6 linked regions of the Xenopus tropicalis genome follow. The protein of the gene in region 3 purifies or fractionates together with the protein of the main gene of each other region. This does not show direct contact. Links are inferred from orthologs where the notes say so. Each region holds a gene or a part of one and is shown on either strand. Other genes may lie near its edges. The genes, in order: top3a, zup1, rpa3, rfwd3, smarcal1 and prpf19.

The links.
Region 1: the proteins of rpa3 (region 3) and top3a purify together in Homo sapiens (affinity purification with mass spectrometry; 3 studies listed by BioGRID and IntAct, with this or other methods). This does not show direct contact. The link is inferred for Xenopus tropicalis from reciprocal best matches to the Homo sapiens genes RPA3 and TOP3A.
Region 2: the proteins of rpa3 (region 3) and zup1 purify together in Homo sapiens (affinity purification with western blotting; 3 studies listed by BioGRID, with this or other methods). This does not show direct contact. The link is inferred for Xenopus tropicalis from reciprocal best matches to the Homo sapiens genes RPA3 and ZUP1.
Region 4: the proteins of rpa3 (region 3) and rfwd3 purify together in Homo sapiens (affinity purification with mass spectrometry; 5 studies listed by BioGRID and IntAct, with this or other methods). This does not show direct contact. The link is inferred for Xenopus tropicalis from reciprocal best matches to the Homo sapiens genes RPA3 and RFWD3.
Region 5: the proteins of rpa3 (region 3) and smarcal1 purify together in Homo sapiens (affinity purification with mass spectrometry; 3 studies listed by BioGRID and IntAct, with this or other methods). This does not show direct contact. The link is inferred for Xenopus tropicalis from reciprocal best matches to the Homo sapiens genes RPA3 and SMARCAL1.
Region 6: the proteins of rpa3 (region 3) and prpf19 purify together in Homo sapiens (affinity purification with western blotting; 3 studies listed by BioGRID, with this or other methods). This does not show direct contact. The link is inferred for Xenopus tropicalis from reciprocal best matches to the Homo sapiens genes RPA3 and PRPF19.

The regions. Positions count from the first base shown.
Region 1 is NC_030685.2:15,952,857-15,956,356, reverse strand, and holds part of top3a (DNA topoisomerase 3-alpha), read right to left. Parts: intron 2,862-3,500; coding exon 2,654-2,861; intron 1,803-2,653; coding exon 1,617-1,802; intron 948-1,616; coding exon 818-947; intron 688-817; coding exon 574-687; intron 1-573. UniProt on the Homo sapiens protein: Releases the supercoiling and torsional tension of DNA introduced during the DNA replication and transcription by transiently cleaving and rejoining one strand of the DNA duplex.
Region 2 is NC_030681.2:74,824,352-74,828,639, reverse strand, and holds the start of zup1 (zinc finger with UFM1-specific peptidase domain protein), read right to left. Parts: upstream 2,801-4,288; 5' UTR 2,787-2,800; coding exon 2,120-2,786; intron 1,398-2,119; coding exon 1,290-1,397; intron 1-1,289. UniProt on the Homo sapiens protein: Deubiquitinase with endodeubiquitinase activity that specifically interacts with and cleaves 'Lys-63'-linked long polyubiquitin chains. Shows only weak activity against 'Lys-11' and 'Lys-48'-linked chains.
Region 3 is NC_030682.2:34,387,485-34,391,483, reverse strand, and holds the start of rpa3 (replication protein A 14 kDa subunit), read left to right. Parts: upstream 1-1,199; 5' UTR 1,200-1,204; coding exon 1,205-1,303; intron 1,304-2,638; coding exon 2,639-2,713; intron 2,714-3,486; coding exon 3,487-3,595; intron 3,596-3,999. UniProt on the Homo sapiens protein: As part of the heterotrimeric replication protein A complex (RPA/RP-A), binds and stabilizes single-stranded DNA intermediates that form during DNA replication or upon DNA stress.
Region 4 is NC_030680.2:74,776,487-74,779,104, reverse strand, and holds the end of rfwd3 (E3 ubiquitin-protein ligase RFWD3), read right to left. Parts: intron 1,754-2,618; coding exon 1,536-1,753; intron 1,057-1,535; coding exon 913-1,056; 3' UTR 501-912; downstream 1-500. UniProt on the Homo sapiens protein: E3 ubiquitin-protein ligase required for the repair of DNA interstrand cross-links (ICL) in response to DNA damage. Plays a key role in RPA-mediated DNA damage signaling and repair.
Region 5 is NC_030685.2:86,335,847-86,339,346, reverse strand, and holds part of smarcal1 (SWI/SNF-related matrix-associated actin-dependent regulator of chromatin subfamily A-like protein 1), read left to right. Parts: intron 1-74; coding exon 75-225; intron 226-1,401; coding exon 1,402-1,560; intron 1,561-1,966; coding exon 1,967-2,032; intron 2,033-2,582; coding exon 2,583-2,723; intron 2,724-2,816; coding exon 2,817-3,035; intron 3,036-3,486; coding exon 3,487-3,500. UniProt on the Homo sapiens protein: ATP-dependent annealing helicase that binds selectively to fork DNA relative to ssDNA or dsDNA and catalyzes the rewinding of the stably unwound DNA. Rewinds single-stranded DNA bubbles that are stably bound by replication protein A (RPA).
Region 6 is NC_030683.2:60,626,426-60,630,700, forward strand, and holds the start of prpf19 (pre-mRNA-processing factor 19), read right to left. Parts: upstream 2,801-4,275; 5' UTR 2,672-2,800; coding exon 2,653-2,671; intron 1,769-2,652; coding exon 1,619-1,768; intron 501-1,618; coding exon 424-500; intron 1-423. UniProt on the Homo sapiens protein: Ubiquitin-protein ligase which is a core component of several complexes mainly involved pre-mRNA splicing and DNA repair. Required for pre-mRNA splicing as component of the spliceosome.

The sequences.
Region 1 (3,500 bases), on a different chromosome or scaffold from region 3:
GTTTGGATGTATATTTACAATTACAATATTATTGTAATAATAAAATATGAAAAGGAGACGGACTGAATAGAAAAATAAGTTACATTAAGTAACAAAAAACAAACTAGTTTATTTTGGATGCTGGGGTCACTGACCCCTATTTAAAAGCTGAGGAGAAGAAGAAGAAGGTGGAAAATAATTCAAAAGCTCTAAAAGATAAAAAACAAAGACCAATGGAAAGCTTGCTTAGAACTGGCTAGTCTGTAACATATTAATAGTTTATTCAAAGGTTAACTACCCCTTTAAGTTACTGATGCAGGAATCATCTCCTGATGCTTCTCTGCTCCGTTCTATCGCTGAAAAAACTGCAATAAGCAGAGAAAGGTTATGAGACACTTCCTGTGTCAGTCACTTGAGGTTCTGTGTCGAGCCAATGCCTGAACAGAACCACGAGATGCACATTCATGGGCAGTGATGGACTGAGAATATCATGGGAACTAATAAGAACAAATAAACAGCATAAGGGTGGGGCGGCACTAGGCCAAGTACAAGAGACTGTCCCATACATAACCACATAGTTGGCCTGTCTCTTACCTTCCACAAGCCCCATTCCAAGCTCCCCAGGAAGAAACCTCTGCTCTGGTGTGAGACCCACATACATGCGCGACTTGATGGTCTCAATGTGCTCAGCGTGGGTGGCATCAGTACCTACAGGGGAAGCACAAAAGCTCAGACGATTGGTTCCTATCTGTCATATTAAGGATCTACTGGACAAGACACAATCACGAAACAGCCAAACCGATGGCAAAAATAGGGGCAAAATAACCTTCTCACTCACCAATCCCATGCTTTTCCATCAGGGAAATGAGATCGGCTTCTGTTAAAAGCTGCGGGGGGCTGGTCTCCCCGTCCACCATCTCCACCGTGCTGGGCTGAAAGCGGGTGCCCATCTCATAGACGGGGATGATCTAGGGAAACACAAGCAACAGCATCGTCAATGCCGTTATTGCTTCTTAATTCAAAGGGCAAAATATAGATGAAAATGAAATTACAAACACAAAGGAATAATGGCTAAGCAGAAGGCGTCTAATAAAAATATTAAAGGGAAACTCCAGCTTCTGAACCAAAATTTGTTAAAGAGCCCCACACAATACAGAAACCCCTAATATCCCTATCACTGTAATCTGTTCCTTCCCAAAGTAGGAATAAATACCATTTTATATGCTGAAATCCAGCTGCAAAACAGTTCTTCTCTTTCTGCATCATTTGCAATCCTGGCAGGGGAGGAGGGACTAAAACATTCATGTTCCAAGTTGTAACAACTTCTCCACAGCTTACAGACAGCATGCAGCAACTACATAACCCACAATGCATTGCACTGGGATGTTCCTTTCCTTATTGACATCACGTGTTCAGGGGATTGTGGGATTGGGAGGATGCAGACTGAAAGCAGGCTGAGGACAGGCGACTACTGTTACATTTTATTTGAGTCTCAAAGTAGCCAACCAGATCAGCAGGGGAACAGGGGGCGGGGCTTAGGGAACTGTTCCAAACCATATTATTACATTAAATATCATGAAAAGGCTTAATTATTTTTTAATAGTTGTGTTTGGGTGAAGTTTCCCTTCATCTATCACCTTTGTATTCCATTTATCATAGGGATAGACATCTAGATAGTTCCTAGCGATGATCATCAGTCCATGAGCGACAAAGCGCTCGGCAGCAATGTCGATCTCCACCGTGGTCTCCTGGCCCTGTGCATCTTGGGAGCAACATGCCAAGAAGTGGCGCACAATAAACTCGTAGATCCGCTGTTCATTTCCCTGAAACCAAAAAAAGGGACCAATTGTATTTACTAGTTTATAAACAACAACGGGTCACGATGAGAGCTGCCTTCCCATATCTGCCACTTATTGAGCAAGTGTTAAAGGGGTAGTTCACCTTTAATTGAAGTTTTAGGAAGATGAAGACATTGATTCATCGATAAGGCAATTTGGATTTAGTTATTTAGCTTTTTTTTTTGTTCAGCAGTTCTCCAATTTGGAATTTCAGCCGCTGCCTGGTTGCTAGGGTCTTGCATACCTTAGCAACCAGGCAGCGGGTTACATGAGAGACTGGAATATGAATAGGAAGGGGACTCAATGAAAGTAAATGATAAAAAGAAACAATATCAATAACATTGTAAGTTTAAAGAGCAATAGTTTTTTTGACCCCCATTTAAAGGGGAGGGGAGGCAAATAATTCAAAAACCTATATAACAAACAAAAAAAAAATAAATAAACTACAAACACCAATTGCAAAACTGCTAGGAATAGGACAACATGTTGCTCCCCAACCCCTTGGATGTTGCTTTCAGTGCCCCCAAACCAGGGAGTTATTTTTGAATTCCTGACTTGGGGGCAAGTTTTGGTTGAATAATAACAAGATTTACTGCCAAATAAATCCCCTGTAAGCTGATAGTGTGCATAGAGGCCCCTAATAGCCAATCACAGCCCTTATTTGGCTCCTCCATGAACTTTTATGGTGCTTGTGTTGCTCTCCAAGTCTTTTTACATTTGACTGTGGCTCACGAGTAAGAAAGGTTGGGGACCCCTGTTCTATAGCATACTGAAAGCTAATTTAAAAGGTGAACCACCTTTTTCCCCATGAAGGAAAGGGGCAGATGTGAGCTGACCTGCAGACTGTTGGTGTATTTAGTGGGATGGATGGGAGGGTGAGCCTGATCTGTCTTGTTGCCGTTCCGTGGGGTCGGCCCACCCCTCTCCAAGATTCGCTGCGCGAAGCCTCCCCACTGATGGTCGTGCGTCTGCTGCTCAACCAGAGATGTCAGGTTAAGGTCCTTGGGGAAAATGTTGGTTTCTGTGCGGGGATAACTGATGAATCTAGAACACAAAGCATCAGGCAGTTAATGGGTGCAGCCAGCTTGGTATCCCAAACAGATACAGACAGTACTCCAGCAAAGGGCAACTAAACTATATTTGTGTTAATAATGCTGCCTCTGCGTCCACAGTGATCATTCTTAAAGGGGTGGTTTACCTTTAGGTTCTCTTTTAGTATTATAGAATGGCTTAATCTAAGCTACTTTTCAATTGGTCTTCATTATTTATGGGTTTTTAATTATTTGCCTTCTCCTTCTGACTCTTTGCAGTTTTCAAAAGGGGGTCAAGGGATTACTTAAATTTTAGTAGGATGTAGAGAGTAATATTCTAAGACAATTTGCAATCGGTCTTCGTATTTTATTGTTTGTACTTTTTTTTCAATATTATTTCAGTTTTTGTTCAGAAACACTCCAATTTAGAAATTCAGCACTTATCTGGTTGCTAGGGTTCAAATGACCTTAGCAACCAGGGAGTAGTCTGAATAAGAGACTGATATATGTATAGGAGAGGGCTAAATAGAAAGATAAGTAAATAAAAAGTAACAATAACAATAAAACTGTAGCCTCGAGGAGCAATAGATTTTTGGCTGCCGGGGTCAGTGACCCCCATTTGAAAGCTGGAAAGAGTTGGAAGAAGAAGGCA
Region 2 (4,288 bases), on a different chromosome or scaffold from region 3:
CTGGCCCCACATCAAGTGCAGGTGACAAAGCTCCCAACATTACCTTCCCACTGGCATTAATGTAAATCGCCGGTGAGAAAAAAATATGCGTCACATATGCTTTCCATTTTCATTAATTCTATTAGGAAGGGAAGTTAGGACAATTTGTTGCCCGTGCTGGAGAAGATTTCTCTAATGCAAGAAAGAAGCCATGCAAATAGAACTACAACATGTAAGAAATTGGCATGCACTGTTCTTATGGCATTTCTATGGTAACAAGCTGTCCATACATACATACAGTTGTTTATTTGCTTACTGAAAAACCTATATCCAGATAATTTAAATACAAAGTTTGACTGGACAACAGTTGTGAACTATAACAACCTTGTAGTAAAACTTTACACAAAGTTCTGTGCCCAACCATAAACTATAAAGAAATATCTACAGTACTTAAAATAAAGGCAATGACATATGACTAGGAAAACTCAATGCTATATATTTGCTAGTGTTTTTAAATACGCCCACTGCACCTTAAAAATATGTGTTCTAGTTTATTATCATGGCAAACTGACACAGCTACAACAGTGCTGAACCCATTGCTTTTAAACACTTGAAATGATGACATGTATAAGTCCAGAATTCATGCAACACCTGCAATCTTTCCAAAATGTGATTGCTTAATGACATGTGTCTAGTGCATGTTCAAATCTATATCTACAATATATATGCATACATCATGATCTTCAATTAAACTAAAACAAAAAGCAATATACTTCTTTTAAAGGAAACGTAACTCTAAATTTTTTTAAGTAAAAAAGCTATTCTACCCTGCACCAATAACTGCCCTATCCTGCAAATCACTTAGTATTTTAAATGCTGTAATAGAAAATACCTGCTAAAACTTGGCTTCCTGTCAATTGAACTACGGCAATACGGCGAAAGAAGGAGCTGCATCCAATATGCGACGATCGATTGATCGAGCCTAGCCTTCTTTCTGTATAGGAAGGAGTCAGGCTAGGCTTGATCAATTGATCGTCGCATAGTGGATGCAGCTCCCTCCTTCACCGTATCGCCATAGTTCAATTGACAGGAAGCCAAGTTTTAGCAGGTATTTTCTATTAAAGCATTTAAAATTAGTTAAAAGCATTTAAAAGTGGTTTGCAGGATAGGGCAGCTTTTTTACTTAAAAAAAATTTAGTGTTACTTTTCCTTTAATGCTATTTCTATACTGGTTTGTTGCTACTTAGTTAACCAATGTGTTTAATAAAAAAAAAAAATGCTTTAACAGAAATAATTTATGAAAAGATCACCTTCATCACAGCTGCTTTCTTCCAAATGTAGGTTTACGTGCTCTTCTAAGATCTGACTATTTGCACACACAAGGGTGCACAATGGACACTCGTACTGTCTGCAATCATCTGGTAATGCAAGACAACAGCAAAATTACATGGGTGACAAAGCTTTTTAGGTAAAAACAAATACACTGTATCAAAATGAACTAGCAGGAGACTTGGCTTTCACTCCATCTTAAATCTTCGTTATAGGTATATTTAATATTTAAATACTTGCCACATTAAAGGAGACAAATCATGTGAAAATTAAGAATGTACCAGTGCATTATATTTCTCTAAATATAGAAGGATTGTGCTAACAAAAGTTGTGTTTAGGACGGATTTATTGAGAAATTCCCCAAAAACCCTACAAGTCCCGCCCATCTGTTCCACTTCTTGCTGGCTGAATTCTATGGATGATCAGGGGTGCACTCAGCACACTGAACTGTAAGATAGGAACCAATAAGCAGCTAGGCTGGCCTGATAGAGAACTGCTGCCTGTCTTTGCTTATGTGACTGCAGGACTGCGATTGGCTACTCCCCTACTACCGTGCTTCTGGCAGGGACAGTTAGGACACACCTACCCCTCATCTGAAATACAGACAGGAACCTGTGAGGATCTATAGGGAGCTCCAATTAGGGGCCATTTTTACAGATAGTCATGCAAATTAATACATATAAGAAATTATAAATAATCCATAACCTATGTTTTTAGTAATTTCCTTGGTATGCAGTTTTATATTTCTATGAAACTTTTATGATAGCAATAAACACAGTTTAATATTGAATGTAAAGATCAATCCTTCCACCTTTAGTAGGTGTTCCCAGAAGATCTGCATGTTCAGTCTTGACATGACATTCTAGTTCTTCCAGAGAAGCTTTTACTTCACAACAGAAAGGGCACTCTGGAACAAAGTCCATGTCACAGGAAGGTGGAGGGGTAACAGACTGGGACTGAACATCAAAATTTGTATTGTCACAAATTTCTCTAACAGAGTCAACATCATATACAGAAGGCTCAGAACAAGCAGCACCAGCGGTAAGGTCTATGATAGTATTTGTAGGTTGTGCAACAGAAGAAGATTTAGAAGTAGAAAGACAATGAATTCTGCTGAATTGTGGACATTCATTATTTAGGTTGTTTTGAAGATTGTTCTCATTGGGTTGGGAAGGGACAGAAAGCCTGGGTTTGTCTGCAATCAATGCTTCGTGGTCCCTAGTGTCGGAATCCTGTAAAGCTCTACGACCAGCAGAGTTATCAATGATGCCCTCAGATGTATTTTGCTCATCCTCACTCCACACCTCCAATATGTCCTCATGGGCTGCGTGAATATGGAAGTTCAGTTCATCATACGATAATCCAGCCAGGGGGCAGAAAGGGCAACAAGCATCCTGCTCCATGTGAGCAAGCAGCAAATGGCTCTTCATGTCATTTTCAGAGTGCACCTCCTGAGTGCAGATGTCACAAATGAGCATGTTTTATGTCACCTTACTGAGCTGGAGAGACTTCACAAATCATAAAAGGATTCACACATCTGGAAACTGGATAAAAGAAGAAACAGGCTATTAGCTAATAGGTATACTAAATAAATATGTTTGTGCATAAATGCCGTCTTAAAGAGAAATATATAGCCTATAGCATGTTCAGTAGGACAAATGTCTAGAATAAACAAAATGATTATAGCAAAGGCAAAATGTAAACAATGCTATATGTTGGAGAGTGTGGTAGTGCAAACAGGTATATTTGTCCTAGAACTGATATGTGTGTGTGTGTGTGTGTGTATATATATTGTCTTTATGAACATTGGCAAAAGAAGTAAACCGCAGCGCCTTACCCCAATCCTCGACTTTCGTTTCCCAGACTGACAGGGATTTCAATTTAGAACTAAACTCGTGACGTCACCCAGGCGCCACAGCGCATAGGTGTCATCACTTCCGGGTTAGGTTTATTAGACAAATAAAGTACCAAATACCAATAAAAGTAAATTTCTGACACTGAGGCGTGACGGGTTACTGATGAACTGCCAAACTTTCCTCTCTACAAGACTGTCCCTAATGCTCTTGCAAGTAATGGGCAATACACATAGTGGTGCTAAGCGATGGCTGTGCCGTAGCCTCTGCAGAGATGCTGTGCGGCTCATTCTGGTTTCAGGTTCTGCCATATTGTCACTGCCAGAGAGCGCCGGGATAGGCGTTTTTTTTTACAGAGACTTGACAACAGCTTGTCGTCTCACGGTATGATGGGAATTGTAGTCCCTGCCGTGGTGTAACAACAGCGCCCACTGGAGGGGAGTGTGGGAACCGAGCGGGAGGGCGCTGAGCTTGAGCTCTGATAATATTGTTAAGTGCAATAGGCCTGACTTTTTAAAGGCCTGAATTACATGGCAGATCTTTGTCTCGCAAAACCTCATCATGCAACTAGACATGATAGCATAAATGCTACACAATCTGATCTGAGGTGCTGTAGAATAAAATATGATTGGATACAATGGGAAATGTTTCCTGTTTAAGCATGTGTATCTGGCATTCAGTGTCCTTCTTTAAGAAACAACTCTACCACCTTTAATGTTCAAGATGAAACTGCACACTGCAAGCTGTCTCTCCTCCAGATCACATGACTGGCTAAACTTTAATGCATATCATACAGCAATTTAAATCCATCTCCCAGCTGGCAAATCCAATTGATTTCAGCGTAGCCAACTAAGAGCTGGTGAAGTGTCTATACAGGTAATCTTGTGTTGGGGAGCAATAAAGCTATTTGCCAGCAGTTGAAAAAAATGCAGGAGTCCACTTGTAATGAAACTGGATTTTCAAGGGATCTCTCATTCGTCCAACACTATTTTTGAAAGGAACACTGGTAAAAGGTGGTCTCTTTAAACAAGAACAATTTCCTTTTCTTATTTAAAAAAAAATGGTGGCATAAAAACAGTAAGTTGGCAAGCAATAGGAGCTCCTCATCCTTTTTACTTTTTGATTTC
Region 3 (3,999 bases):
TAAGGTTGTTTTCTCTGGAAAAGAGGCGCTTGGGAGGGGACATGATTACTCTGTACATTAGAGGGGATTATAGGCAGTTGGGGGATGTTCTTTTTTCCCATAAAAACAATCAAAGCACCAGAGGTCACCCCTTTAGATTAGAGGAACGGAGCTTCCATTTGAAGCAGCGTAGGTGGTTTTTCACGGTGAGGGCAGTGAGGTTATGGAATGCCCTTCCTAGTGATGTGGTAATGGCAGACTCTGTTAATGCCTTTAAGAGGGGCCTGGATGAGTTCTTGAACAATCAGAATATCCAAGGCTATTGTGATACTAATATCTACAGTTAGTACTAGTGGTTGTATTTATAGTTTATGTATGTGAGTGTATAGATTGGTAGGTGTGGGTTAGGTGTGCTGGGTTTACTTGGATGGGTTGAACTTGAAGGACACTGGTCTTTTTTCAACCCTATGTAACTATGTAACTATGTCTTCGGTTTTAGTTCTCTCTGTAAATGCAATTGCAATTGGTAGCAGGATCTGACTCTTGAAACAATGTAGCAGGGCAGCTGGCTTCTGCTTTGTTCTTTCGAAACTGAAAACCAGCAGTGCTGAGAATAGGGATAAACAGATACTACTTTCCATAGTAATTACAAATAAAATCTAAAGCATGAAACATTTCTTAAAGAGTCAGAGTGCCTTGAGTGCATACAATGGGTTTTTTGGCACCACCCCTTCAACCCCAAGGTAGTGACATTTTGTGAAATGTAAAAGGTAGTACAAGTTCTTACAAGCAGGACGCACAATCTATGACTTTAAGATCCACTTTGGCCAGAACAGAGTGTATTATATAACTATGCCAGCTACTTACATATTAATACAAAATTGGCCGTGAAAAGATTTCAGCAACTAATAGGCTATTTCAATAGACTGGTGTAAAAGTGGTACCGAGCACACACATTTGTATAGGGAAGGAATACATTTTATACTACAACATTCATTGAAATTGCAGGTGTTTAGTTGCTGACTTAGGCACATCTGCCACATACAATCATGGCGCATCCCTCCTCGGATTTCTTTGGGCGGGGCAATGTGTCAGCAGCACACTTTGCTGATTGGCCAGTTTCCCTGCGCTCTCTTTGGTAGTCATTGGTACTTCCGGAAGAGGTTTCCCGCCACAGCGCATCTTTCGCTAGGAAGGTTTATCTCTGTTATAAGTTCTGGTTACAATGGCGGATCTGTTTGATGTCCCCAAGGTCCGCATCAACACGAGCATGTTGGCTCAGAATGTGGGGAGGCCCGTATGCTTCGTTGGCAAGGTGGAAAAGGTAAGAGGTTTGCATTTCGCGTTGCGGACGAGCGTCATGCTTCATACCTATACATAATGGGGCTATCTCCTAGTACATGAACTATACTCCTGGTGTCCAACTATAACTATACTTCTGTAACAACTGCTCTTGTATTGTGCTGGGACTTGCAGTGTTGCAGTAGTTAAAGGGGAGTCACATGTATGCTACCTTCAAAAGTGATGTGAATAGTGAATATCTGCTGTGGTTTCATTATTCAGCCTTATGTTCAACAGCTGCCCAGCTTGGCATTTCAGCAGTTATCTAGTTGCCAGGATCCCATGTAACCCAAACTACCAGGCAGTGGTTGGAAGCAGAGACTGGAAGATGAATAGAGAGAAAAGCAATCACTGGTGTGACTTTAGAGGGAGCAGACCCAGTGGTTGCATGAGGGCCTAGACCACTGGGTCTGCTTCACAGGGTCTGTTTTCTCTATAGTTAACACCAAAAAATGTATATATTTTAAAGAAATTAAACTATAATGTACTGCTGCCCTGCACTGGTAAAAGTTTTGTGTTTGCTTCAGAAACATTACTAGAGTTTATATAAACCCTGGTGTGTAGCCATTCAAAAGAAGAAAAGGCACAGGTTATATAGCAGCTAACAGATAAACCCTGTAGAATACAATGGTGTCTTATCTGTTATCTGCTATGTAACCTGTGCCTTTTCTCCTTTTTTCCAGCTTGAATGGCTGCCCCCATGGCTACACAGCAGCTTAGTTATATAAACTATCGTAGGGTTCCTGAAGCAAACACAAAACTTTTACCAATGCAGGGCAACAGTACATTATATTTCCATTACTTTAAAACACTTTCATTTTGATGTAACTTCATGGTGAATGAACTATCCCTTTAAAGGAGATTGCCATTTGATTGCCAATAGATTAGTCACAATAGTGCAAGTTATAAAAAATATTTATTCTGCAGAAAGCTATACCATACCTGAGTAAACAGCCCTAGAGGCTCCCTCTGTTTAAGATAGCAGCTGCCATTTTAGCTTGGTCTCAGTAGCGTCCTGCTGCTGATAGCTCATATTACGCAGATGGGAGGGGGATCATATTCTGATGGGAGGGAGAGAGGAGCAAAATGAGCAGACTACTGCCTGTGCCCTGAAGCATTTTTCTAAGAGCAGGAAGTCTGATACTGAAGTACACAAAAGAAGACAAGAAATCCTGTGTTTCTTTAAAGCACCAAAGGTTCCCTGTTATTTTTTAGTAAGTCAATATATGGAACTTTAGTGTCCAAGGTTATTCTCTTACAAGATAACCATAAAGTATTCTTGTTTTGATGCTTTTGTTATTTCTTGATATTTACACAGGTTCACCCAACTGGGACATCCATTGTTGTATCAGATGGTGCAGGAAAAAATGCTACAGTTGAGCTTAATGAACCGGTATGTATAGCAGTGTGAATGAGCGAGGACATTTTGTACGCAAATAAGTCATTTACCCTTTAGATGCAGTAAATCATGGAATGTAGATCAGTGCTGCTGAAGTTAGTGGTCAGCACTGTTTCGGAGTACTTAGGTATTCAATACATAGTCTGTCAGTCAGTCCTGGGTATTCCTTACATGTGTTCAACTGGTGTTGCTTGAGCTGGTCCAAAATGTGCTTCATTTATTACCCTAACAATGGGGCAAGGTTGTTAATGGGCACACTGTACAGTATAGTTATAGGTGCCTGCAGGCAATTATTTTTACAGAATTAGCTCGCTATTTAAAAATTCATAATGAGACATTTTAGTGTACTCTTTGTATACTTGCTGTTAACTCACTAATTTGGGTATGCTACAGAAGTTATGTTCACTTAGTATTCCTAGTTCACCTGTAATTAAAAAAAAAAAAAAAAAAAGCAGTACCTAGACAATTGCAAACAAGCATTGTTCCAGAAAATGAACACTGACACCCACTCCGGGGGTCTCTAGAAATTATGGATTGGTTCCTCAGATTGACACAAAATACAGTGCTTTTACAGTTTTTTTTTTTTTTTTTGCAAGAACAAAGGTTATATTGTGGACATAATTTTTCTTCATAGAAATGTAAAAGATTCTAAATATATTTTGTTGAGCATGTCTAGTAAATAGGAGCATATTACTAGTTTGTGACACTTTCTCCCCTTGGTTGTTAAAATTAAGAAACAATTCACACTATTTTTCCTTATGTTGCAGCTGGAAGAGGAAATTTCTGGAATCATAGAAGTGATTGGAAAAGTTACACCAAAGGCAACAATTATGGGAGTATCTTATGTCCCATTTCGGGAAGATGTAAGCACTTTTGGTAAGTAAAAAGCTATTTGTCGCTATTAAAGAAAAGTCTTGGAGATCTCTCTCTAACATTGCTGTGCTGCCACCTAACTTGTCTTTTCTACGCTAGGATTCCCTGGGTAGGACAGGTAAGATTGGCAGTGTGGCACCTCTAAAATAGTAGAATTCACGTTTCTGTAATGCACAGTGCTTCCCATGGACATCAGCAGTTCATTGCAGCACCCATTTCAGCCCCCTGCTGCAGGTCTTCTCTTCACCTTGTGCACTGTACTGTACACCCGTACTGAACTTTACATCTGGTAAATAGGTATAAGAACTGTATTAGAGAAACTGGGAGGGTAGCAGGATTCTCTCTGGGGCATTTTTGCAAGGCGATTTGCCTGATAATTAAACAGCTGCCCTGCTGCTCTCCCATTT
Region 4 (2,618 bases), on a different chromosome or scaffold from region 3:
TAAAAGGTAGTCTGTGCCACTGGATAATTCTAATCATTCAGTCAACCAGTCATTTTAAGTACTACCAGCCATTCCCTGGCTCATACAAGTCATTGTGTATACACACAAACCAAGGGCACACATTCTTGCTTCGTTACATCATCCAGTGAATGGACAGAGCTATGTTTTTTACCCCCACACCTTCTTGTAAAAGGACAATATTTACGGATATACGCTTGCACACACTCTGGACTAGTGCAGCATCAACCTGCTGTTACGTTTTCTGGCAGTTTGCACTATCTTTTAATAAATGGTTGTTTGGCAAAGAAGACATATAATTTACTAAATCTATACAGATTATATTTTGCCTGTATGCTCCAAAATACATTTTGCAACCTAGATGAAGCAGTAACTAGAGGTTTTCATTTACATTTATTTGGGCTTGCTCTAGTGGAGTCTCATCTCATCTCTCATCTGCTTCAAACCATGAGCAAGTCATAATTAAAACAGATACATAGTAACGATGTGCAAGTACTTTACTTATTTTGTACCATAATGGTATTAAAATTCTTTATTAGGACAGAGGGGGAAAAGGAAATGGTGACAGAATTACAAAGAAAATATATACAAGAGACATACGAAACAGACATTTTTAAAGAACACCCCTGGACAGGGATTTCACAGAACAAAGTCCTTTAAAATTAGATTATTGCACACAGATTTAAGCTGTGAGACAAGACCTTAGTTTTAATTGAATATATAACTGTTGAAAAGCAGCATATGATTACTGTACATACATTAGTGCATCTCAGCTGATCATTTTGGTTAGAAGCCTGGAACACTGTCATGCTGCAGGCAAGATCAGTATGAAGACTTGGAATGCTACCATGGTGCCAGCCAAATAAGCAAAAAATAATCTTTTGAAGGGACATGTTACTCCCATTTATAGATTTTTACCATTTTCTCTGTTAAAGTGGCCAGCATACTGCTTTGATTTACTTCCATGGGACAGATATCTAAAACAGGCTGGTCAGCTTGAAGCTTCTGAAGAAGAGTACCATTTCCTGAATGCCAAAGCTGTATTTAAAAAAAAAAAAAAGATAAAAGATAAAGATAAAGATAAAATTGTACTTCAAACAGAAAGGGAACAATACATCCATTGTATGGTTACATATATAAATCTATTGTATTACCCATAAAACTATGTTCAAAAATGAGATAAACTAAGATATAATAAATCTTTATTGGTGGCAAAACAATCCTATAAGGTTTCATATTTAGATTATTTTTTTTTTTTTAGCAGACAAATTATTGTGATCCAAACTACAGAACATCCCTTAAACAGAAAACCCCAGGTCCCAAGCATCCTGGAAAAAAGGTCCCCATTGCTGCAGTATCAGTATGGACTAAACAATTTTACTGTGTGGACAACATATTTTAATTCCAATAAAGAACAGCAGATACAGGTCTGGACAGTATAGCGAGTGTAACTTTAGTATTAAGTCTATTGTATGCAACATTGGATTCCATATCCAAAATTACAATTCAGTACTTACCATTGCAGAGTTTGAAGCTTCATCACCAGCACAAACCAAAATAGAGCCATCTCTCTCAGGGCTCTGAAATATGGCATTCTTGGTGAGAAGCTTGCATGTGCTACCAGCATTAAAGGTTTGAACAGGGTAACAGGAACAACTGTACTCATTTTCAGAGTCACTCAGCCGGTTACTGGTCAGTTCCATCATAACACCACGTACATAATTATGGGTTTTACCTGTAAATATATAATGGCTATGTTTATTTTTTCTTTTTACTACACATATTTAGAAAGGCAAAAAAAAATAAAATTTATATATATATATATATATATATATATATATATATATATATATATATATATATATATATATATATATATATATATATATATATATATATATATATATATATATATATAAAGTCCAAGAATTTGGTGCACACCAGGATATTTTTTCAAAAATTAAAACGTTACTTTTATTTAAACATGCTGTTAAAACAGGCCAACGTTTCGGTCTCCTCCTAAGACCATCATCAAGACCACATACACAGTTAAAATCAGCAAATAAATAGATAAAACCTCTAGACACTCCCCCAAGCCCCACACTCCCATCCCAGTCACATGACTGAATAGTTAACCCTGTAGGCTAAAGCATAACAAAGTCATTGTTATGCATAAGGGAGCATGTAGTGCAAGAAATACCAAGTTAAAAAAGTTCATACTTATCTACTGACAAATAATGCAGAAAATGTAACCATAGATGGTACGGGAAAATACAGAAAAGAAAAAAGGAAACAAAGACATTAAATGCTTAACCATAAACTGGCAAATATTGTAGCCAGTGTAGCAAACTCAGCAATACATCTCCTCACCTTTGCTCTAGAAAACATAGAAAAGAGCAGTGTTCATTTAACCCTGCCGGTGCCAAAGTACCTAGTTTTTTAATCCAAAACACCTCTCTTTGGAGAAGTAGCCTGGCCCGATCACCACCCCTTGTAAGGGGCGGCACATGATCAATTGCAATGTAATGAAAGGTGGGCAACCTGTGCCCCATCTCTAGAAAATGTTTGGCAACAGGCTTATTGGTTGTACCATCCCTGAA
Region 5 (3,500 bases), on a different chromosome or scaffold from region 3:
ACTCTCCCTGAAACATGAGTTGAGTAATTACTGTATTCTTATTCTTTCCATTTACTTGGCCTTTAATCGTGCAGTTTCGCGGTATCGAGGGAAGGGCGCTTGCTGCTGGCCGATGACATGGGCTTAGGGAAGACCATACAAGCCATCTGTATTGCTGCCTATTATAGAAAAGAGTGGCCCCTGCTTGTCGTGGCCCCTTCCTCTGTGAGGTTCACATGGGCCGAGGTAAGAGCCTGCTCTACATTCTGTGTAATTATCCCGTCCCGGCAGGCTGCTCGTTATATAAGTAATTAGTATATTGATTATACATATGAAGGCCCGTCAGTCAGTCAGTAACTCTGATGCAGATAATGTTGATATCGAATATCATTTGTGTAATTACAATTAGCCAACGGCACCTCGTTATGAGCCACTAAAGGGGAACACCAAGCAAATCTGGGGCTTTTAGCAACTTAAAAAGGAGAGAGTCCCTGTGTGGGAACTCATGGGGCCCCTGCAGCCTCCTAGGTGTATTTCCTGGTATTTCCAGCAGCTCTGCCTTGCTTTATGGCTGGGATTCTAGATCTACACTCAGAATAAAGACATTGGGCACATTCACTTACCCAGACACATTTTCGAGCATAATCACCATGTTTTTTTCCCCACAATCCACTATTTTCCCCCACAATTCCATTGTCAATGCAGATGCGATTGCGCTGTGTCTACTGCAGTTACGTCTGATTTGCCAAATCGCAAATATAGCACAATTGCGCTATTTGCCCTGTAAAGGGCAACCCTAGGGCTCATATAGATAAGCGACTGTGGAGCTGACAGGAATTGAACCCAGGAATTCCAGTGAGTCAGGCACAGAGAGCTAGCGGCTGATTGGTTTATCTGTGCATTAGGATGAGAGACTGTCTGCCACAAGTGCTGCCCTCTCCCCACCCAGCTGGCTGCTGCAGACCCCAAGGGAGGCAGGAGGGGGAAGATGAGGTAACCTGACCCGCAGAGCTCACAATCCATGCTTTGATTGCATGACAGGATGGCGCCCAGCTCTGCAGCTGGGATCATTTCTCTGCCCGGTGTGTGGGAAAGAAGTACCGGCAGTGCCAGCTCAGCAGGGGCAGTGCGGGGGTTAAAATGAATGCAGGGCCCCTGGGGTCCAGTTTCCCGGCTGTAGTGGCTACAGGTTGGCACAGTTGGCATAGAGGCGAGTGCCCTTTAAGGAAACCTTATATGTTTGTAGCTGCTGTGCCCTCTGCTCTCCAGGTGGGGGAGCTCCTGCTCCAGTTCTAATAAAGCATTCCCCTTGGCTAGCTACAGTACAACTATAACTGCCAGCACCTTTACTACCTGAGATTATCTATTTGTGTCTTTTTATCCCCCCACCCCAATTCATTGTTCCCCTGTTACTCCCCGCAGGCCTTCCAGCGGTGGCTTCCCTCCATCAGGCCGGAAAGCGTTAATGTGATCGTGACGGGGCGGGACAGCCAGAGCGCCAGTCTCATCAACATCGTTAGTTTTGACCTTCTGGGGAAGATGGACAAGCAGATTGCCGCGACTTTCCAAGTCATTATTATAGTGAGTAGCGGCGTTAGGTCCCGCCCCTCTGTGAAATGTCACTGGCCAGTAGTGCCAGGGAAGATTGAACCCTTTGTGAGCTCCCGCCCCCTAAAGCTCAAATGTGGGTGGCATGGAATGTGCTGCAGGGTAATATGGGGGGGCAGGTACTGACACCGGGGCCTTAGGAACAAATAGTGGGTTGGATTCTGCCAGTTGCAAATGCTTATTTATCCCACAGGAAATGCCCCGCCCCAGGGTATAAATTTATAGCTTCAGTCTGTAGAGCCCCCAAAGGGGATGTGGCCCTGTAGCAGTGTAGCCACACACTGTGTGTATATAATATATATAGAGAGAGAGTGGATATTGGGGCAGGAATACAGCGACAATGGAGAGAAAAGTACATTATTTATTTATTCATTTTAAGGATGAATCTCATTTCCTGAAGAACGTGAAAACTGCTCGCTGCAAGGCTGCCATGCCGCTACTGAAGGTACCTCCCACCCCCTACCTTTCTACCCTCCCCCACCTCAGTCTGATCCCGCCCCCCATGCACTGGCCCCACCCACTCTGTACCATGTGTTTCCCTGCCTTTACTATACATTGCCTTTCTGAGATTTCTGTAGGGTTCCCTCTATCCTTTTTGTTCCTTTCCAGCCACCGTAGCTTTTCCTTTTCTTCTTCCCTTAAGGTGGCCATACACCTTCAGATCCGCTCGCTTGGCGATGTCGCTAAGCGAGCGGATCTTCTCCCGATATCCCCCACCTACAGGTGGGCGATATCGGGAGAATCCAGGCTAATTTGGATTCTGGGGCCAAACGATCGAATTATAACGACAGGTATAGGCATGTTGTTCCTGCCCCTACAGGCCTACGGGCCGATAAGCTGCCAAATCGGTCTAAGGGACTGATATCGGCAGCTACAATTGGCCCGTGTATGGGGACCTTTAGAAGGGGGGGCTGAATCTGATGGGCAGTTGCCTTTTTTATTAGCCCAAATGATCTATGGAATGTAATATTCTTGCGCCTTTTCCCACCACACAGAGTGCTAAGAGGGTGATGCTACTGTCGGGGACCCCCGCCATGTCCAGGCCGGCCGAGCTCTACACACAGATTGCTGCCGTCAGACCCAGTTTCTTCCCTCGGTTCCACGACTTCGGAATCCGTTACTGCGACGCCAAGCAGGTGAGTTATGCGCGCGGGGGGGGGGGGGGGGGGGCTTACGTTGGGTCCCGTAAATACTAATATCACAGACTGATAATTCACTCTCATTGGCAGATGCCCTGGGGGTGGGATTATTCGGGATCCTCTAATCTAAACGAGCTGAAACTGCTGCTGGAAGAGTCGATAATGATCAGACGGCTGAAATCCGAGGTCCTGTCCCAGCTTCCCGCTAAGCAGCGCAAAATGGTTGTGGTGGCCCCCGAGGGCATTACTGCAAAGACCAAGGCGGCCCTGGCGGCGGCGGCAAAGGAAATGGCCAAGGGATTTAAGAGCGTGAGTAGGCTGGCTCCCTGATTGGTGGGAATGTCTCTTTTATCCTGAGCCAGAGGGGCACAGAAAGAGGGGATTTAAAGGGGAAATATGCACTATTTTTCCATTACAGATAGCGAAACATAGATTGTAGTTTTGTTTTTTCCCTTTGTCCTTATCCTCTCAAGTGAATATTGAGTTACAGGCCCCCCCGGCCCCTCTATATTATCAACATTGAAACCACGTATTAATGTAACTATGTCCCCCATTACCGTCCCGGCTTGGTGGCGCCCCCACCCCTCGCTGTTAAAGTGGGAGGAGTTCACTGTGTAACCAGGAGGGAGAATTTGACCAAACGTTTCCCCCTCCACCCGTTGCTCTGTAGAACCAAGTAAGGCAGGATTAAAGGCCAAGTCAAACTAAAAATCAATCTCAAGTTCACTGTTTGGGTCTTTATCTTCGTCTCAATTGACAGAAAGTTCAAGAGAA
Region 6 (4,275 bases), on a different chromosome or scaffold from region 3:
TGATATCAAAATAATTTCAGTAATTTTCATATTCTCACTTATGATGCAATAATGTATCTGCAGGAAACAGTAAAGATATATCAAAACCTCTATTAGGTTTCCATAATTTTGCCTCTGCTGAGGCAAAGAACACATGTATAAAACAATATATACTGAGGCAAAGAACACATGTATAAAACAATAAAACAATATACCCAGCAGATTTACCCTTTACTAATTTAAACAAGTAAAAAACCTGATACATTAAACACTAACAATACACTTTACCACATGGCTAATGAATACAGTTACGCTTTGTAAATCTATTTATTAATAATCAGCTGTGCAATACATATGTTCTATTTTTTTTTTTTTTAATCTACACCAACACATTTTATAGACAGTAAGGAGAGAAAGCACAAAGTGAAGGATCCAGATACTAACCCACTCATCTTGCAATGATTTCAGGATTGCTGGAATACTGGTTGCAGAAGGTGGTTTAGGACGAATTGGATGGGCTACTGTAAGAAACAGGATAAAAGACCCTTCAATAAACTAATTGAAGAAAAAGTAAAAACATCGCTCCATTCTTTGCTGTGATTAAAGAAGAATTAAACTTAAAAAATGTTGTTCTATTATCTGTTTAGACCACTCATGTGTAATTTAGAGTATAAATGGATACACAGCACAATCTATTTATTCTTATGTAGATCTACTAATCAATTTTTTTTTGCGACAGGTCTAGGTATTATAAATATCTAAACTTGTTACCAGTTTACATTTTACATACAGTAGCTCAAAGACAGGTAAATAAAGACAAAATTTAAATAGTCTGTAATATGACCTATATGTAAGGCCCAACCACGATATAGAAGTTCCCCTTTTTAAGTCTTTTGACACAGTCAACCAAAATAACATTAAGAGTTTTGTAAAAGTATTTCATAGAACTGTGTACAAAAAGTGCAATACAAAAATATGTGGATCCATATATTATAGGCTAATTAAAAGCAAGAAATTGGCTTACTAATGCATAATTCAGTTATTTTTCTTCTAAAAATCTGTAAAATTATGTGTATTCACTTAGTGAAGTTTGGGAACATACACTAATTAAAATGTAAAATTTGGCTTTGGAAGCAATGTGCCATCTCTAGCTACAATTAGCATTACTGTGCGTTGTGCAAACGTAAAATAATACCTTTAAATGACCCAACAGAAATTATAGTTTTTTGGTTTTTTTTTGTGTTAGGTATGGCTAATTTTTTTTTTGGGGGGGGGGGGGGGTTACAGGTGAATGACAAGTAAATTCCCTATACAGGTATGGGACCTGTTATCCAGAATGTTTGGGACCTTGGATTTTCCGGATAAGGAATCTTTCCGTAATTTGGATCTCCATAACTAAAGTCCACTAAAAATAATTTAAATATTGAATAAACCCAATAGGATAGTTTTGGCTCCAATAAGGATTAAATATATCAAGTACAAGGCACTGTTTTATTAATACAGAGAAAAAGGAAAAAATTAGAATTATTTGCTTATAATGGAGTCTATGGGAAACTTTCTGGATAAGGGATCCCATACCTGTACCATTAAACTGAACACAAAGAAAAATAGCATTAGACGTTTTCACAGCTCTACTGACCTTTAATGTCAATCAACTGATCCTCACTTAAGGGCTGATTTGTTACTGGATCTGTCCCATTTTCAGCCAAATACTTTTCAATAAGGCGGCGATCAAAAATATGACCCGACACCGGGGAAATGCAGGGGCGATCTGTGACCTCATTACTGACTACAGGCAAATGAGAAAAATGTGAATTTTTATAAACATGTTTAGATTATAAATGGCATAATTGCTTATAAGTCTAAACATAGGTTTTAAATACACATGTACTGTCAAATACAATTATGTCCTAAAATTCAAGTGGTAGGAACAAAAGCATTAAGTATTTAGTACCTTTCATTAAAGTTGGAGTCTAACCATTTTATACATTAATGAATTAAATGTTTTGTATGCAAGCAAAGGTACACAAATTACAATCTCTTACATTATATTTCTAAATCATGGTCACAATACCATATTTCTAACAGAGCTATCCCCAGCTAATAACCCTGCTTGCATTTTCTGAATGCTTTAAATATGACTATACATCAATGTATATACAAACCCTGTCCGCGCTCCTGAATCAATGTCAATACAATTAATTTGGATACTCTGAGTATACTAATGTGAAAAAGCAAACTTGAGGGAAAAAAAAAATACCACTTATCTATATCAATTACTTTTAAGTGAACTATAATTAAATATATCTTTGAGCTGCCTTCCTCTACCTAATCCTTGTAGTGATTAAAATCTTAACCCCAAAGAGAGCGCCAACTTTTTGGGGCATACATCAATGTATACAAATCATACATCAAGATATTACAAAAAATATTAACTTAACACAATTAGCAAGCTCCAGATACAATACAACTTTTGTTGACATAAACACAAATTTAGGGAAAAATATTTTCTACTATTAAATAACTTGCATTGAATTTCTATATATAGGACCTGTATACCAAATATCGTATCAAATGACACGTTGCATCCACACAGCCGATGCTCAGCAACTTTATACAAGCATTTTATGAATCCGGTAGTGCTATTCTACTGCTGTTTTATGTTGCACTCACTATAACATGTCAAAGACATCTTCCAGGTATCTCTTTGAGCAATATGGTTAGGCGAGAAATAGCGTTGTTTTCTTTTTAGTGATGCTGTTCAGCTAGGACTCCCTGTTTTCAGACTTAAATTGGGCAGGCCCTTTGGCGGGCTATCTCCGTTCTACCGAGGTAAACTTGGAAACAGCGTGTAACCAGCGTCGGCAAAGTACTTCCGGTTTTCTTTGTTTCTACATCCGCTCTACAGCTAGACGTTTTACGTAAAGCAATGAAAGAAGAGATAGACTCGGCGTAGTGTAGCCGGATGTGTACAGCTGCAGTTCCTGGCAGCACTGAAGTATTTCACAGCGCTTTGTGATTATCATACGTGTCAGTCTCTTCTTTAGTTGTGTTTACTATCTAAGGGCTTCCCCACATATATGCATGTTTGGTGCTATTTATATTAATTTATTATCTTTATCAATTCTTAGGCTGCCTTTAGAGTCGGCAACCTGAGGGTAAACGGAATACATACAAGATTTGCATAGACAGACTACCTGATAAGTTATTTAGGCGAAAGCCTGCTGTTAGCAGTCTAAAACATCTATCTCAGAAATACCTCCCAACATTTGAAAAGTAGAAGGAGGGACAAATATTTCAGGACACGCCCACTTTATGGCCACGCCCCCCAACCAGGCCCATTTTACAAAACCACACCTGAAAAACATAACACACACAAAGTGCACCAGAAGATAGGCATGGTGGCCCCAATAATTTTATGACATTTATCACATATGTAGCCCTAAGAATTTCATTACGCACTGTAGCACCTGTATATCATGACATTGGTAGCCAGGTGTTACGTTTTGCATTGGTGGCAGGGCAGGGACACCCTAAAACATTGCTAGCCAGCCCAGGGCCCCCTTAAACATTGCTGGTCCTCCCCCATTGTCCCCATAGTATGGGTTGCTCCCCACTGCAGCATCCTCCAGCTCCCCCCAGCATCCTCCAGCTCCCTCCCAGCGTCCTCCCCTGCATCCTCCAGCTCCCCCTTAGCATCCTCCAGCTCCCTCCCAGCACCTTCCCCAGCATCCTCCAGCTCCCTCTCAGCATCTTCCCCAGCATCCTCCAGCTCCCCCTAGTATCCTCCAGGTCCCCCCAGCGTCCTCCCCAACATCCTCCAGCTCCCCCGCAATGTCCTCCCCAGCATCCCCCAGCTCCCACTTAGCATCCTCCAGCTTCCTCCCCAACATCCTTCAGCTCCCCCCAGTATCCTCTAGCTCCCCCCAGCATCCTCCCCAACATCCTTCAGCTCCCCCGCATCCCCCAGCTCCCCCTTAGCTTCCTCCAGCTTCCAGCTCCCTCCCAGCATCCTCCCCAACATCCTTCAGCTCCCCCCTAATATGCTCCAGCTCCCCCGCAACATCCTATTCAGCGTCCCCCAGCTCCCCCTTAGCTTCCTCCAGTTCCCCCCCAGTATCCTCCAGCTCACTCCCAGCGTCCTCCTCAACATCCTTCAACTCCCCCGCAACATCCTCCCTGCGGCTCCCCCTGCTCCCCCCCCCACCCGCCTGCTGCCTCTTGCTGCGTCCCCCGGCTCTTCTTCTCCCCATGATGTCACACTCGCGTCTATCGGGAGCACCGCAGCTTCTGCAA